Alligator mississippiensis: one gene and its partner. The protein of the gene in region 1 purifies or fractionates together with the protein of each later gene. This does not show direct contact. Links are inferred from orthologs where the notes say so. Each region holds a gene or a part of one and is shown on either strand. Other genes may lie near its edges.

Region 1 (8,015 bases):
ATGAAGCGTCTGAAAGTTAAGGATATGCCGCAGAAATATGTCAGAACCACTGAGGACATATATTGCAAATGTACAACGAAAGTGAGGAGCAGTTTGAGAGAGACAGAGTTTTGAGGTGAAGATGGGCATTCATCAAGGGTCAGCTTTGAGTCCGTTCCTATTTGCGGTCACGATGGATGTGTTTACTGAACAAATAAGAAGGAGACCTCCGTGGAACATGATGTTTGTGGACAACATGGTCATTTGCGCCAAGAGTTTAGAGGAAATGCAAGCTGGTTTGGACCAATGGAAAGAAGTACAAGAGGGAAGAGGAATGAAGATGAGTTGATCCAAAACGGAATACATTTACTGTGATTTCTCTGAGATACCTGATGTTGCAAATGTGATAATCGATGAGAAACATGTTCGAAAAGTTAACAAGTTCAAGTATGTGAGGTCAACCGGTCAGCAGGGTTAGATGAAGAGTTGAACCACTGAGTAACAGCAGGGTGGACAAACTGGAAATTGGTGACAAGACTATTATGTGACAGGAGATTATCAGTGGAGCTGAAGAGGAAAGTCTACAAGACGTCCATGTGCCCAGTACTATTGTACGGAGTGAAGACAGCCCATGAAGAAAACACAAGAAAGGCGACTAAATGTGACAGAGGTGAGACTGCGCAGACGGATGGGTGGAGTGACGGAGATGGATAAAGTGAAGAATTCTTACATCAGAGGATTGGTGAAGGTAGCGGAGGCATCTAAGAAAGTACAAGAGAGAAGACTGGCATGGTACGGGTATGTTCAAAGGAGTCCAGAAGAATACGTAGGAATAAAGTTATCAGAATGGTGCTACCAGGGAGAAGGGGAAGAGGAAGGCCAAAGATGAGATAGAGAGAGATACTGCAGAAGAACGTGAGAGGAGTTGGAAGAAGAAAATAAGTATGACCGAAGTCAGTGGAGAGCCAGGATCTGCAAAAGCAACCTGTTTAGACAGGACAAGCAAGGGAAGAAGATAGATATAGACAAATATATATACAACTATTTTAAAGCTGGCTCCTCCTATTACTAATCAGAACTTCCTACATCTGCCGGCCTGGTGGACAAGCTTATATTCCACCCTGATCCCACGACCCTCCAGGGGACCTCAGCTACTGGCTCCTCCACAGAGCGATTGCTATGGGCATGTATCTGGTGCAGTTTATGGATGCCCCCAGCTCCTGCCCCTTCTGCGATCAGAGGGAGACCCTGGTACGTGCCTGCCTGAAGAGTGCCAGGCTGCAGCGCCCTCTAGGACTTCCTGCTGAGGCTCTGGCTGCACTACTCCTGCATCGTTTCACTTATGCTCTCCCTATCCACAGCCCCATTAAGTCCCGGGACCCTCATGGTCAACCTCCCCCTGCCCTTAGCCAAATTAGCGATCTATCTGATCAGGAAGGAGGATCTGGGTGGGAGACCCCCCAGGGACCATGCAGCCGGTTTCCTGTCCCTCGTCTATTCACATCTCCGGGCAGAGTTTCACTGGTCCACTCACCACTGGCTCCTTGGACTCATTCGAGGCACTGTCCCACGTCCCCCTCAGTGCACTCGTTTTTAACCTACAACCTTCACTCCCATCCCTGCTTTGCTTTTTGTCCCATGTCATCAACTGACATGTATCCAATAGCCCCCTCTATTAGCAAGGGGCACTAACTGTTGCTTTGTGGGCCTAAGGCCCATGTCCACAAAACGTGTCAAATAGGCCTGTCCAGGAAAGAGGCTCCAGCTGGGGGTCTCAACAGGGACTCTGGGGCCATCCTCCTGTCCCTTATCTAATCACGTCTGCGGGCATTTTCACCAGATGGCATCTACTGACTCCTTACACATGTTCGAGGGCCGGTGGGCGCTGGCTGATGAGCTCTGCTCGGGGTCCCCCATCCTTGGTGCTCTCGTTATCCAACTCTGACCCCCGCTCCTGTCCCCGCTCTCATTATAAGTTGTCCCAAGGAATCAGTGGATGCATACCGAGGGGCCGCCGGCCCTCCAACGAGTCCAAGGGGCTAGCGGATGCTGCCCGATGAAACTCTGCCTGCAGACGCGAGTTGAACCAGGACAGCAAAGGAGCCCGGCAGTCCCCGACGGCTTCCCTGGCTGGAGCCTCCTTCCTGGTCAAACAGACGTCCCGCTTGGCTAGGGCCAGGAGGAGGCTGACCAGGAGGTCCTGCGGCTCGGCGGGGCTGCAGACGGGGAGCGCATAACCGAAAAGGTGCAGGCCCTGTTTCTTCTGGGCATCCCTGCAGAGGGACCCAGCACGGCCACATGACACCGGTCCTGGTAGCTCTTCCTGCCTCTCCTCTCCTCTCGCAGCCTCCAGCCAGCCGCTTCTTCCCTGCTTGCAACCAGCTCGTCTCCACGGTCCCCCCAACCCTGCGCTGCCCCCGCCCAATGCAGGCCTGGCGACAATGCCCTCCCCCCCCCCCCCCCCACACACACACACACACACACAGCACAACCCCCTACAGCCGCGCCCCCACAATGGGACACCCTCCCCCCCTGGAACCCCCCTTCCCCCCCATGGAACCCCCCCACGGGACGCCCCTCCCCCCCATGGAACCCCCCACGCAGGACGCCCCTCCCCCCTATGGAACCCCCCCCACGGGACGCCCCTCCCCCCCATGGAACCCCCCACGCAGGACGCTCCTCCCCCCCATGGAACCCTCCACGGGACGCCCCTCCCCCCATGGGACCCCCTCCTCCACAATGGGGGCGCCCCTCCCCCCTTCTCTGGCCCCGCCCCCGCCGTGAGAGCCCCTCCCCCACGTTTAACCCGGGCGGACACCCCGTCCCGCCGCGCACAACCCGACCCCACTGCTTCCCCCCTTCCCAGCCCGGCGCGGGAAGCCCCGGCCTGGTGCGGCCTAAAGCCTCGGCCTCGATTAGCGACGCGGGCCGGGCCCAGGACACTCACTCGCCGCCGCCATGAACGAAGCGCCGCGAGCCCCGCGCCTGCGCAGTCGCCCGCCCGCCCCTACGTAAACGGCGCAGCGCACGGCGGGAAGGGGCGTGGCTGAGGGGAGCTACGCAAACTGCGTCCGACTTGGTGGCAGGGCAGAGCGGTGTTGGAGCAAGCTGCGCAAGTAGCGGGAGAGTTACGCCGCAAGGCTGGGCCTCGTAAAGCAGGAGCTGTGCAAACTTCGTAGGCGAGAAGAGGAGGGGCGGAAATGTCGTTACATCACCATAGAGAGCGCGGCTCCGGGAGAGAGAGTATCCGCAGAGGGGTGGCGTCTGCCCCCTAGTGGCAGGGAGGGGGTACTGCGCGCTGCGCCCCAGGGGAGCCCTGTAGGGTGGACACAGCCATAGGCTGGTGGGAATGATGAAATCAGGGGTTAATTACAATTAGAATGTTAATGGCCGTTAGAATGTTAATTTGCATTCTAATTGCAATTGGAAAACCCTTTGCACACTAAAGGTAGGGCTCACTTCCCCCAGCCCTCCCTGGGTGACACCCACATGCCTGGGTTTCAGGCTTGGGAGCATTTTGGTCCTGAACTGGTCCCCAACGAAAACTGGCTGCAGGGCCCTCCTTGCAGGTGTCAGAGCCCTTCTCTACAAGAACAAGTGCAAAGTCCTGCACTTAGGACAGAGCAGTCCCACGCACCAGTGCAGGCTGGGGTTGATGGGCTGGGCAGCAGCTCTGCAGAAAGGACCTGGGGGTGACTGGACAACGAGCTGAATATGAGCCAGCAGCGTGCCCTTGTTGCCAAGAAAGCTAACAGCATCCCGGGCTGCATTGGTAGAAGTGATGCCAGCAGGTCAAGGGAAGTGATTCTTCCCCTCTATGCAGCACTGGGGAGGCCACATCTGGAGTACTAGGTCCAGTTTTGGGCCCCCCCACTACAGAAAGGATGTGGACAAATTGGAGAGAGTCCAGTAGAGGACAACAAAATGGTTAGGGGGCTTGCGAGGAAAGGCTGAGAGAGCTGGGTTTATTTAGTTTGCAGAATAGAAGACGGAGAGGTGATTTAATAGCATCCTTCGATTACCTGCAGGGAGGCTGCAAAAAGGATGGAGCTGGACTGTAGTGGCAGATGACAGAACAAGGAGCAACGGGCTCAATTTGCAGCAAGGGAAGTTGAGGTTAGAAAGTCTTTCCTCATATCTCCCTGGAAGGGCAGTAAAGCACTGGAACAGGCTTTCCAGAGAGGTGGTGGGATCTCTGTCCTAGGAGGTTTTTAAGACCTGGCTAGACAGAGCTTTGGCTGGGATGATGTAGTTGGGGCTGGTCCTGCTCTGAGCAGGCGGTTGGACTAGATGTGACCTCCTGAGGTCCCTTCAACCCTCATGTTCTGTGATTCTTTGATTCTGTATTTCCCCCTGCTCCCCGTAGGAAGCAAGACTAGCATTGGGACGGGACTGAAGGTAATGCACATTCAAATCTCTGAAAAGGTGGATTTGCAAAGCTGAGGTAGAGAGCCCTCTACCATCTCAGCCCCTGGGTTGTAACATCCCCTGTTCTTTACATGGAGCCAAACCCACCAGGCATTGGGAACAGAGCGGGGCTGCCCCCTGTGAACGAGTGAGCCCCACTGATGCTCACAGGCACCATTCCCTCACCTGCACCGCAGGGCAGGCACCCTGCCTTTCCCAGCGCCAATTCATAGTTGCAACTAGCTTGGCACCTTTGGCAGTATCATGTTAATGCAAGAGTGGATATCTCTGTGCCCCCTGAGTCACCAGTTCCTCTGTACTTTGTGCACCCACCCCAAGGAGACAGAGGAAAAGCCAGCCTGTGATTGTGCCCGTTGCATGTGTGTAATCATGTCACCCCCTCTGCGGACATCGCAGCCCTTCTCCCTGCTCTCAGCAGGAAGCAGGGATTGCATTGGGAAGGGGCTAAAGGTAAAAAAGGAGAAGATGCATCGCTCAGGTACCTGCCAGCCATGCTTGTATAGGGGAAGGTATCTGGAAGCCACCCCTCTGGGGAAAGGAGAAGCAACCTGCAGGCGGGGGGGGGAGCAGGGTCCTAGCTAATCACAAACATAAATAATAAACCAAAATAATGAATGGAGGACAAGAGAAAGAAAGAAAACCAAGCGTTACGATTTTCCATGAGCATGTTAGTGCCAAACAAGAGCCCTGGGTTTTTGCTCATTTCTTTTGTTCATAGAACAAGATGCAACAACACCTCTTCTAGCCAACTCCCCGCTGCTAGTTCTCAAGAAAAAGCAGGAGCACTGTGCATATAGAGCAGGGAAGGGCACAATGCAGCCCATGGGCCAGATGCAGCCCACCAGGCCATTCTCTCCGGCCCGCGGAGCCCCTAAAAATTTAGAAAATTAATATTTACCTGCCCCTGGCTGTCTGTCATGCGGCCCTCGATGGCTTCCCAAAACTCAGTAAGCGGCCCTCCCCCCAAAATAATTGCCCACCCCTGATATAGAGTCTTCCATCTAATCCCATCTCTCTATTTCACATGACATTTTAGGATTGCAATGTTCATACAACATTCATAGTTTAATATCTAAATTTGATAGCCATTTGACTGTTTCAGGGGTAGCTGCACGGATTGATTTTAGATCGCCATTAAATGATCGAAGAGGGCAATCATTCACAATGTGTCACACCGTCTGAAAACTCACACCACAGTCTCAATCCAGTGATTCTTATCCAGGGTACCGCGAGAGTCTTTCAAGGGTGCCCCTAGGTGCCATGCGGTTTTAGTACTGTTAGCATACAAACATAATTCACAAGATAAGCTCAGAAATTTCAAATAGGGATCCATTGTTTTGAAAACACTCAGATCTGCTGTGGTCTTTTTGAGTTCTTTGCAATAGAAAAATACTGAAAGCAGCTTTTCTGTAGTCAAAAACTAGCGAAAACTAAGAGCTGGCATTTTCCGAGGGGTGCCTTGAGTCTAACAAGGGGTGCTTTGAGTCTAAAAAGGTTGAAAACCATTGATCCAATCCATTCACTAATAAACTGATTGTTCAGTTCAACTCTTTAAAAAAGACCTGAAACCAAACAGCCTAACTTTTTGCCCCAGAGCACAGTACTGTAGTTGTGCACACTCCATGTTTATCCCTTGTTTGAGTGATACCAATGCTCTCTCTGCCTATCTATCTAGTCTTTGGGTATGCAACAGCTCTTTTATTAATGTGTTCGTACAGAATTTAGCACTATGAGGTCCTGCCCCAGGACTGGGGCTCCCAGGGGCTACCCCTATTCAAAGCATCAGTATGGAAATATAACAGGAATATAATGTTACAGCATCTGAAAAGTCCCCAGCCAGATATTATACAAAAGCTGCAGTTTTCAGACAAAATTCTCACTTTAATTCTCATTCCCGATTCTCATTCCCGATCTCCCATCGGGAATTTTGCTGCATTTAGAGTCTCTTAACTTTTTTTTACCCCTCCTCCCACCAAATCTGAGCTGTTAAAAATATTTAGGGACTGCTGAAATCTGAGAGGATTTCTCCTAATATTTTGCCTGCTGTATATGTAAAAGCGGGCATCCCACAGAAGGGAGAATCGTTCTCCCTTCTCTCTTCGGGCCCCACATGTTGTGGTGCTTTGCAACCGTTTTGTAAGACCTGCTGAGACAAGAAGGGAACTCTTACTGCTGTTTGCACAGTATGGAATTGAAAGCATAAACCGGCATTTGCTTGAACATCTGAAGCAGTTTAAAAAAAAAACCAAAAACGTGTTGCCTTTTACAGAAGATCATGTGGCTCAATGAAACTTTGAGAACTGGGGAAGGCTCGGCCAATATTCAAAGCAGGGAAGAGGTGAAATAGAGAAACAAACTGGCTGCCTGCCTGATCTGATATTGTCTTCATGGGTCTGGGGTGGGGGGGTTATCTCAATATCCTCCATAGTTGCTCTGCTGTTGTGTTTCAATTTTTTTCCCCCCACTCAAACCTTGAAAACTGATGAATGGTCAGGGTTGGGGGGAAGTACACAGCCCTTGTTGGCTACTACAAAACAAAGCAAATCTCCTACCCACCAAGTATGTGACGTGGGTACTTTCATAGACATTAGATTTCATAGACATTCGGGCTGGAAGGGATCTCGGAAGATCTCCGAGTCCAGCCCCCAGGATTATACCCAAAGACTAGATATGGGTATGTCAGCCTCAGGAGCAGGAGGGATATCAGAGGCTCCATCATCACCTGCAACACTCACGTTGCTTTAAAATGTCTCCTTACCCCCAGAAGGCTCCAGGAGCAGATGCAGGATGTTGAAAAAGGGGCACAGGAGCAGCACCCCCTACTCCCAGCCTCCTCCCCACCAATACCAGTGAGACCAGACCGTGCCATGAGATCGGCAATTAGGGACCATTTTAAGTCCCCCAAAACAGTTAAGCATTCCCCCCCACCATACTCTTTGCTCAGAGCATGTCCCTTGCCACACCTGCCACTGCTGCTGTATATGCAATCCTGGGGGTGAAGGGAGCTCCTGTCTCCCTCCAGCTGGGCTGCATGGGGTCTGGGCTCAGCCTGGGACAGTGGTGGCAGTGGGAAGTTTCCCCTCCTTGCATCTGCTCCCAGACTGGTGGGGAACACCCAGGGGAACCAGGCAGGGAGAGGGAGCCCACCTGCCACCACCACTATTACTTTCCCAGACTGAACCCAAGTCCAGCATGGCCCAACTGGAGCTGGGTCGGAGCTCTCCTCACCCCCAGGACAGCAAGGACAGGGGCAGCAGCAGGCAGGGGAGGGGGAAATGGGAGGGGAGGGTACAACCTCAGCTTGGAGGGGAAAGGAGGGGGCAATTCTGATCTTCAGGACTTAAAGAAGTCCCCAACTGCTGCTCCTGCCCCATGGTCAGAAAGTGGGGGTGGGGGTGCAGCCCCTCTGGATCTGCCCGAGAAGGCTCCAATAACTCAGTGCATTGCATCATAAAAAAGTACAGCTCCAATGGACCCCAGGAGGTCATCTAGTTTAATCCCGTGCTCAAGGCAGGATCATCCCTATATAAAGCATCATAGGCAAGTATTTGTCCAGCTATTTGCTTTTAAAACCTTTGTGAACAATCCCCATGCATGACTACCAAGCA
Region 2 (7,821 bases), on another chromosome or scaffold:
GCTGAAATGGACCTCAGAAGATCATCGGGTCCATCCCCCTGTACCAGGCAGGAAAGACAGCTAGGATCAGGTGACCCCAGCAAGATGACCGTCCAACCTCCTCTTGAAGATTTCCAGGGTAGGCAATTGCACCACCTCTGGAGGGAGCTTATCCCACAGTCTGGACACTCTAATTATGAAGAAGTTTTTCCTAATGTTGAGCCTCAAATGGTCTTCCAAGAGTTTGTAGCCATTACTCCTGGTTTTCCCCAAGGGTGCCCTGGTGAACAGTTGTTCACCAACCTCTTGATGTACTCCCCTGATATAAGCTGCTACCAAGTCTCCTCTCAGCCTTCTCTTTTTCAGGCTGAAGAATCCCAGCTGCTTCAGCCTTTCCTCAAATGGCTTGGTGCGCAAGTCTCTGATCCTAATAGTAAGAAGTTCAGTTTTACTCCCAAACAACCCAACAGAAAAATTCTGATTGACTCCAGTGGTGTATTCTTAACTCCAAGTGTGGCTTGGGACTATACTTTTCACCTTGCTTTTGTGCACACTAACATCTGCAATACTTTTCAGCTATCACACAAAACAAATAAAACTGTCCTGCTTTAAGCTTGAAAGGAGAAAGTGCCAAGTAGAGCTTGTCAAAGCATTTGTTTGAGAAAAGGTTTATTTTTGTCAAACTTACTTTTCCATTGAGAATAGATTTTTTTTGAGCCAACATTACTTTTTATTAATTTTTCTGTTTCCTTAAGTGAAATACAAAACACATTTTAAACAACATTTCTAAATTCTAAAAATATATCACTTAAATACATTTTTTAAAATAGTTTTTAAAACCTGTATTTTTCAAAAAATAATATAAGTAGTTTCATTTTGCTGAAACTGAAACCAGTGTTTGCCATGAAAACTGACATAAAATTAAAGCAATTTTTCAACATTCCTTGAAAAACAGATATTTTTCAACCTCTGTGTTGCAAAGCTTCCATGAACTTCTAATGAAAATCAGGAAATGTTTGCATACACTTTCAGGAAGGCTTTTCTGAACCTTCCTACTTCACCATAGTTTGTGTGCAGCAGGCCAGGTGAACTTTTAGGCTCTTACTTCTTGACTTCTTTATGCTGAGGCTCCCTGGCTTGCTCCTGAATTTTCAAGAGTAGGTAGGAAGACATCTCCTCCCATGTCTAAATCCGAAAAAAGGCACTTAGTTCTCTGTTCTTTTCCTGCCAGAATAGGATCAGAACCTCCTTTTTGTTCAACTTTTGTCTCTTCAACTCTTCTCTGAGGTTACAGTATATCCTGGAAAACTGTGTATCCAGGTTTGTTATGTTTGCTTTGGACAGATATCTAAAAATTCCAAGATGAATTTGATGCCATTATAACTAATTTTCTCAGGGTCTGTACATAGTTGCAGTTGAAGGTACCATTGCAGCATGAGGCAGCGTGCTAACATAATATCTCAGGTTTCACCATGGACTACAGAAGCCATCTGGGTAGATAGATACTCGTGTTGTTAACCCATGTTGCTACCCCTTCTACTTGGATTAAAGCTATCACAATATGATTCTGTGTTCTGTACTCACAGATTGACAGCAGCACCTCTGACTGTACACCTATCCTCAGAGTACAATTTCTTCTTCCTTTACCTTATAGTATCCATCTCTCCCCCAAGCCCTACAGATATGTTTGGAGTTGTCCTATTTCACTTTTAAAACGAGATGGCAACATTCCTAATAATTAATGACCAAACTGGTTTAATTACTGATAGAACATCAGTTATTGCTAATATTCAGGCTTCAATCACTGTATTTTAAAGTACTGATAAAGGCTTACCAGAAATGATAAATCTAAATTGTGTTCCTGGAAATGTAAGGATTTTTATATGGACTGACCTACACAATATCATTCTTTACAGGAACAACTAAAAGCCAAACAAAGATCTAAATCCCATTCTGCTATGCACTATACAGAGAAAGCAACCATTTTCAAGGAAGTAAAATCTCGGGTATGTGCCCAGAGACCTTACAGGCAACTGTTAGCACCCTTGAAACTGATGGTGGATAGTCAGTTTTGAATAATTTGTGAATCTCAGTCACCAAATCAGGACCAATTTTTCAAATTTGGAATAAAAATTCAATTTCAAAGAAGCTTTGGGGACACCAGGACACAGCCCCCAAATTCAGAACTGTCCCAAAAAGTCCAGGATGATTGTTCCCTTTACATACAGGCATAGAATAAAGACAGTCTCTGGATAGCAGAGCTGTCACTGGAAGCACTAGACTAGATTGTGGATTTATAAACGACTCTTAAGTAAAATATAGTTCATAGTTTCTTTGTTTCAGGAACAGACTGGGGCATAGTCAAAACTAAATTGTGACAAACTTACTAGGATTCTACTGGGAAACTGGCCAACTATTCAAATACAAAATTATCCTTGAAGAAAACCATCTAATTACTTAGATTCCATCATGATGCAGCCTAGTTTGCCCTTTCAAATGTTAACAGCAACAATAAAAATGCACAAACTGCTTGGGTTTTCTTTCCTATTGTTTCCTGTCCTTTTTCACATTTCAGCTAACAGTGGTGTTGTCTGAATACACCACATAAAATCCAGGCTCTGAAGCAATCCATACTTTAATCTGACTGCATGTGTTAAAAGCGAATATTCTTTGTAGACCTTTATCACCCTGCACCCTGTCACCGCCAAGAGCCGCGGCGCGGGGTTCGGGGCCTTGGGAGCCCTAGTCGGCGGGCGGGCACTTGTGATGCTTGGAGTGGAATCAGGTACTGACGCGTTTTGATTAAACAAAAAGGTTGTTTACTTACACTGCTCGTACAGTGCAGGCCAGAAGCTTGCTTCGATTACAGTTGTAAACAAAACTTGGGTCGGGCAGAAATTACAAAGTTCATTCGGTCTGCAAATGTGTCGAGCCGGCAGTTGTCGGGTTACGTCTAGGTCTAGGTCGGTGACGGGGAGCGATTAGAGGTTGATCAGGCCCCTAAGTCCTTCTCTAAGACACACGCGGAGTTTGCTAGGCTCCACAGCGTGCTCAGAGCTCTCCACGAGATGTATGTGGAGTTCTCCAACTTGGGCAGAAACTGCTTCAACCTCTTATATGGCTAGCAAGCCAATCGCTAGTCGCCACGTAGGAATAATTTAAAACTGGCCAATAATAATGTGAATTTGCATATGAGTGGCGGGAACTTTTTTCTAAACTGTAATTTTCCACTATTGTAGCATTTGGTTACTGGGTTCAGGCATAGCGGAATTTTCCTCCATGACCTAGTTACTGCCACCAGAATGATTGACAGCAAAACTATGCCATATGTATCGAACCCATGGAATTTTCCTCTGTGCTATGTCATTTCTCCTCTGGGCTATACCAATTCTCCTCTGTGCTATAGGCATCTAATTAATGGGTTCTGACACACCCTAGAAAGTAATATTCACCAGCACAAACTGACTGTAACATGTTGCTACTCTGACATGGCAACATTTTGTACCCCTTTGCACTTACACAAATGACTACACAAGCAGCAGGGCAGTGAAGTATCAGCTTTAGAGTTTATACATTAAATGCTTCCTAACCTCTTTTTAGTAAATTCTTTGAAAAACCTGATGCCTTAAGGACCTTGCTTGTAGGAAAGAAGTGTTCCCATATTAACCTTGCTCAGTAATCATGACCTTTGAGAAAGTCAGATTGGAACACTGTCGCTTAAGAAATACTACTCAGCAGCCAGATCACACGATGTGAACCATTTCTGCAGGGAATTCATCTTAAACTCATTTTAGGCTAACTCAGTCCAAGCTATATATTACCCAAAGAGGCCACTAACCCCTTATATCAGCTAAATGTGATTGAAATACATTACTCACACACTTCCTCGCTCCCAGGACTCTTTTATCCAGGAAAACAATCTGGGAAAGAATATCCCTATACAATCTGTCATAGAACAATGTTAATAATCAAAAGGGTTTCTTGGCCCCATCTTCAAACTAGGGCTGCCAGAGAGTTAAGCATGATCTTTCAAAGAACTTTTATCCTGGGATATGATTGATTGTTCCACCAAGCTAAACAGCAATTTGACTTGGGACACAAAACAGTGTATCAATATTTGTGACAGCAATGCAAGCCTGTGCATTGATTGTTAACTGAGAAACTAGTTCTGCTTGCTGCCAAGAGTCCTTCTTCACTGTATCTTATTTAAATCCACAGCTGACAAAGCCCCTCCACCCCCAGCAATATGGTGGGGAAAAATAACCCAGTGGGGAAAGCTAATATTAAATTATTCTGTAAAAGGAAATTAAATTATTAAGCCACCACCGAAACCTTACATAAAACTACCATGGCTATAGATAAAGGCACTGCTTTGTTTTTCTTTTCATATAAGCTAATACTTCAGGCTTATATAACTCATGGAAAGAAGAGGGATTTATGTCTGGTTGGGTTTTTTAATCAGTCCAAATTTCCTCTGGTACCAATATTATCCAGCACTGCTTGCTGGTGGACACCATTTTAGATTAATTGCATATCCTAGGACTACTTCTGATGTAAGACAAATGGGAAAACTGCAACATATTAAAGCTGAATCCTGGCTTCTGCTTTGAACTCTATCTTTTGTTCTTGTTTGCTACAGTCCTTCACTGCTTTCATTTCATAGACTTCAGCATAGGTGGCAGACTGGTAGGAATAGAAAAAGAAAATCTCCCTCTAACTCAAGCAATAAACTACTTTGGCCCATGTGATAGGCCAGAATCTGGGTGACACAAATGTAGTATAAATCCAGCTTTTTCCAGGCCTTCTGTGTCCTGCTTCTCAAGAGAAGAATATAGGTCATGGAAGCTAGCTTTCCTCTTTGAACCATGAGCTATTCCTTGGGCAGAAACCTGCATGACATTATTTACAGATGTTGTCTTGCTGATGATTCCTGATGAAATAGATGATGATTTTAACTTGGCCAGGCTGAATCACAACTAAAATTCTCCTTGTGTTATTTGAGCATTGAAACCTTTTCTGTTCAGTACTTTGTCTTATCTGCCAGGGCTTTGCATTCCAGCCTACTAACTGAATACAGAATTTAATGAGAGTAGGTGCATATGACATTATTCATAATAGACAAAATAATCTAACATAACGGAATATAATCCCATGAGCACATGTTTGATGAAGTCTCATATTATGCTGTGAGAACATTTTGAGGCCAGTATTCTCTGGTCAATTTTCAGGGATGCTTTCCTCCAGGATTCTTTCTGAATGGAGGAATAAAGTGGCATGGATAACATTAAAATAGTATTTACTTCATTACTGAATGGCTTGAGTTATTCAGGTGAGAAGTGCTATATAAGATCTAAGTAAACCAGAAAGAGCTAAAATAATTGTAATGTGGAAAGCTGAATAGGTTGTGGCTTATTAATTTTCCCTCAAGCGATGGGGGAAATGATTCTGCAATCACTTATTCATATGCTTAAATTGACATTGAATCAGTAGGAGCAAGCTTGTGCTTAGGGTTCAAGTGTTTTCAAGATCAAGGTCTAAACTGACAGTGACAGGGACTGAAAGCTGCAAGTTCTGTTGAACCTGACACAGAGCTCATTAAAACAGTGATTTCTCCATTGATTTGATGGGACTCTAACTTAGTCCCTTATACAACAAATTCAACAAAAGCAGTGGCAAGACAAGCTTTCTCGCTGTCCTGGTAATGTAGCAGAACCTAGGTCACCTCAGGAAGTATGAATAACTCTGTATCTATTCCACTGATTCTCAAACTTTTTAGATTCCAAGCACCCTGCAGAAAATGCCAGCAATCCCCAGTCTCACTGAATATGTTCAGTTGAATTGTGCTTTTGCTGGGCAGGTACACAGTGCTCTACCTTTACTCAGGTACACACGTAAGCTTGGTAAGTCCCAAAATGGTCACCAGGCAAAAATTCATGACTTCTGGGTGTTAGATGCCAGAATGTTAGATCCCTCCCATATATTAGCAGGGAGCAGGAGACCTTAATCCTACATCCCCGTCATCCAGATGACACCTGGACCTGCATTTTAGTATAGTGCTGTAATCACCAGGCCACAGGCTAGGTATTATCCAGATCCTTTTTAGCCCTCCCCTTGAAGCTGGCCTCTAGACAACCAAGAGAGGAAGATATGTGGGGCCAGGATGAAGAATACAAACTAAAGGTTGTTGAGTTCAGGGAGATAGTTACTATCCTGGATAGGAGAATGTCCTGGGTTTTGGCCTGGTCTCAATGGGGCAGAAACTTCCTGACTTTTTTCTGTCCTTTTCATCCAATGGACATTAAATGCAAGATGCAGAGGACTGGGAAGCTACCCATTTAATGTCTATCCTGTGGCCTTATGGTTAGACTACTTTGTTAGGAAGCAGAAGATATAAGTTCAAACTCCCATGGGAACGCAGGTGGAAAGCAGCTAAATATTAGATATCCTATGATGCCTAACACCTGCTAGTCTCAAGTTTTTGTCCAGCTTATAGTTTCAGGACTTACCTGGCCTTTTGCATATACCTGATCAAATGTACTGGACCATGTATCCTTCTCTTTTTCCATTTTGCTTCTGGCAGGTACTCACATAGGTTGATCCTATTCCATCACAGGGAAAATGGAATAAAAAAACTGCATATAAGTGCCCAAAGTCAGAATAATGTAACTGCATAACTGCATTTAGATGCATAAAATGAATTAGGATTCAGCTTTAAGTTCTTCAGGGAAGGGACCTTCCTTTACTATATGTATATGCCCAGTACAAATTGGTCCCCACCACAGTTTCAGTTTCTACTCGAAGAAGAAATATAGACTAGGGAATATAACATATCTGTGACAGCTCTTTGTTTTGGTTTTCCTAGTTATAATTAAAAAAATATATATATATTAATATTTTTAAATTGCAATTTTAATTATTTTATTCTTTCTAAAAGAAACAGCTATATACCCAGCAATATATTAGTTACATTGTCACATGTTCCTCCTGTAAAACTAAAACCTGATAAAATCAGTCAGAGTTGTTCCAGACAATATGACCAGAAATGCAATTATTGTTATATTTTGAGGAGAAATAATAGGGTAAGATCCCAGAACTAAATGTCTACTGAGAAAAATAGAAGTGATATTTCTAGATGAAATCACATTAATAATTCTTTCCCCGAACAGAAAAAGATTTGTGTTTGAGGCTGATATTCAAGAAGCAGATAACAATGATACACTCATTCATTTCTGCAAGACTCTAAGGAAGTCACTAAAGGCTATATGAATAAAAATTGTTAACATTCATGAAAGTGCTGTAGCACTTTGTTGCCAGGAAACCACAATGAGACTATAGCAATGCCCAGGTCGGATGATATGGATAGCAGGCTACTACATTAATCCTGCATTTTGCAGATACAAGATCTGTATCATTTGCAAATATGAATACTTGTGCAGTGTGGCAGGAATTCGGGAAGGTCACGTTGCTAATAGATATATAGGAGAGAAAAGATACCAAACTGAATCCTGGAGAAAGATGACTGACTATCTTTAGAATACAGTTCTCCAGAAAAGTAGATGGTGATGCTACACTTCACTGTCTGTGAAGAGTTATTATTTCCAAGAAAGCATCAATGATATAATTATCCTTGCAACACTTAATTGTTGATGGAAATACCTGCATATGGCTTCATAATCTACATAACAAATAATTATATTGTTATGAGTAACAGCATGTCTTTTGCATAAAAATACACGGAAATAATGACATGTCAGCTTTTGAAAGCTACATCATCCGTTTGCACAGATGCATGGGAAAGCAGCAGAGCACAAGATGTACAGGAAGTGTCGGATCACATTGTAG

Evidence for each region. The genes of interacting proteins can lie anywhere in the genome.
Region 2: the proteins of RBM17 (region 1) and SNRPB2 purify together in Homo sapiens (affinity purification with mass spectrometry; 3 studies listed by BioGRID and IntAct, with this or other methods). This does not show direct contact. The link is inferred for Alligator mississippiensis from reciprocal best matches to the Homo sapiens genes RBM17 and SNRPB2.

The regions. Positions count from the first base shown.
Region 1 is NC_081827.1:9,433,959-9,441,973, reverse strand, and holds the start of RBM17 (splicing factor 45), read right to left. Parts: upstream 3,010-8,015; 5' UTR 2,927-3,009; intron 2,218-2,926; exon of another isoform or gene 1,984-2,217; intron 1-1,983. UniProt on the Homo sapiens protein: Splice factor that binds to the single-stranded 3'AG at the exon/intron border and promotes its utilization in the second catalytic step. Involved in the regulation of alternative splicing and the utilization of cryptic splice sites.
Region 2 is NC_081824.1:218,461,053-218,468,873, forward strand, and holds the start of SNRPB2 (U2 small nuclear ribonucleoprotein B''), read right to left. Parts: upstream 3,017-7,821; 5' UTR 2,807-3,016; intron 1-2,806. UniProt on the Homo sapiens protein: Involved in pre-mRNA splicing as component of the spliceosome. Associated with sn-RNP U2, where it contributes to the binding of stem loop IV of U2 snRNA.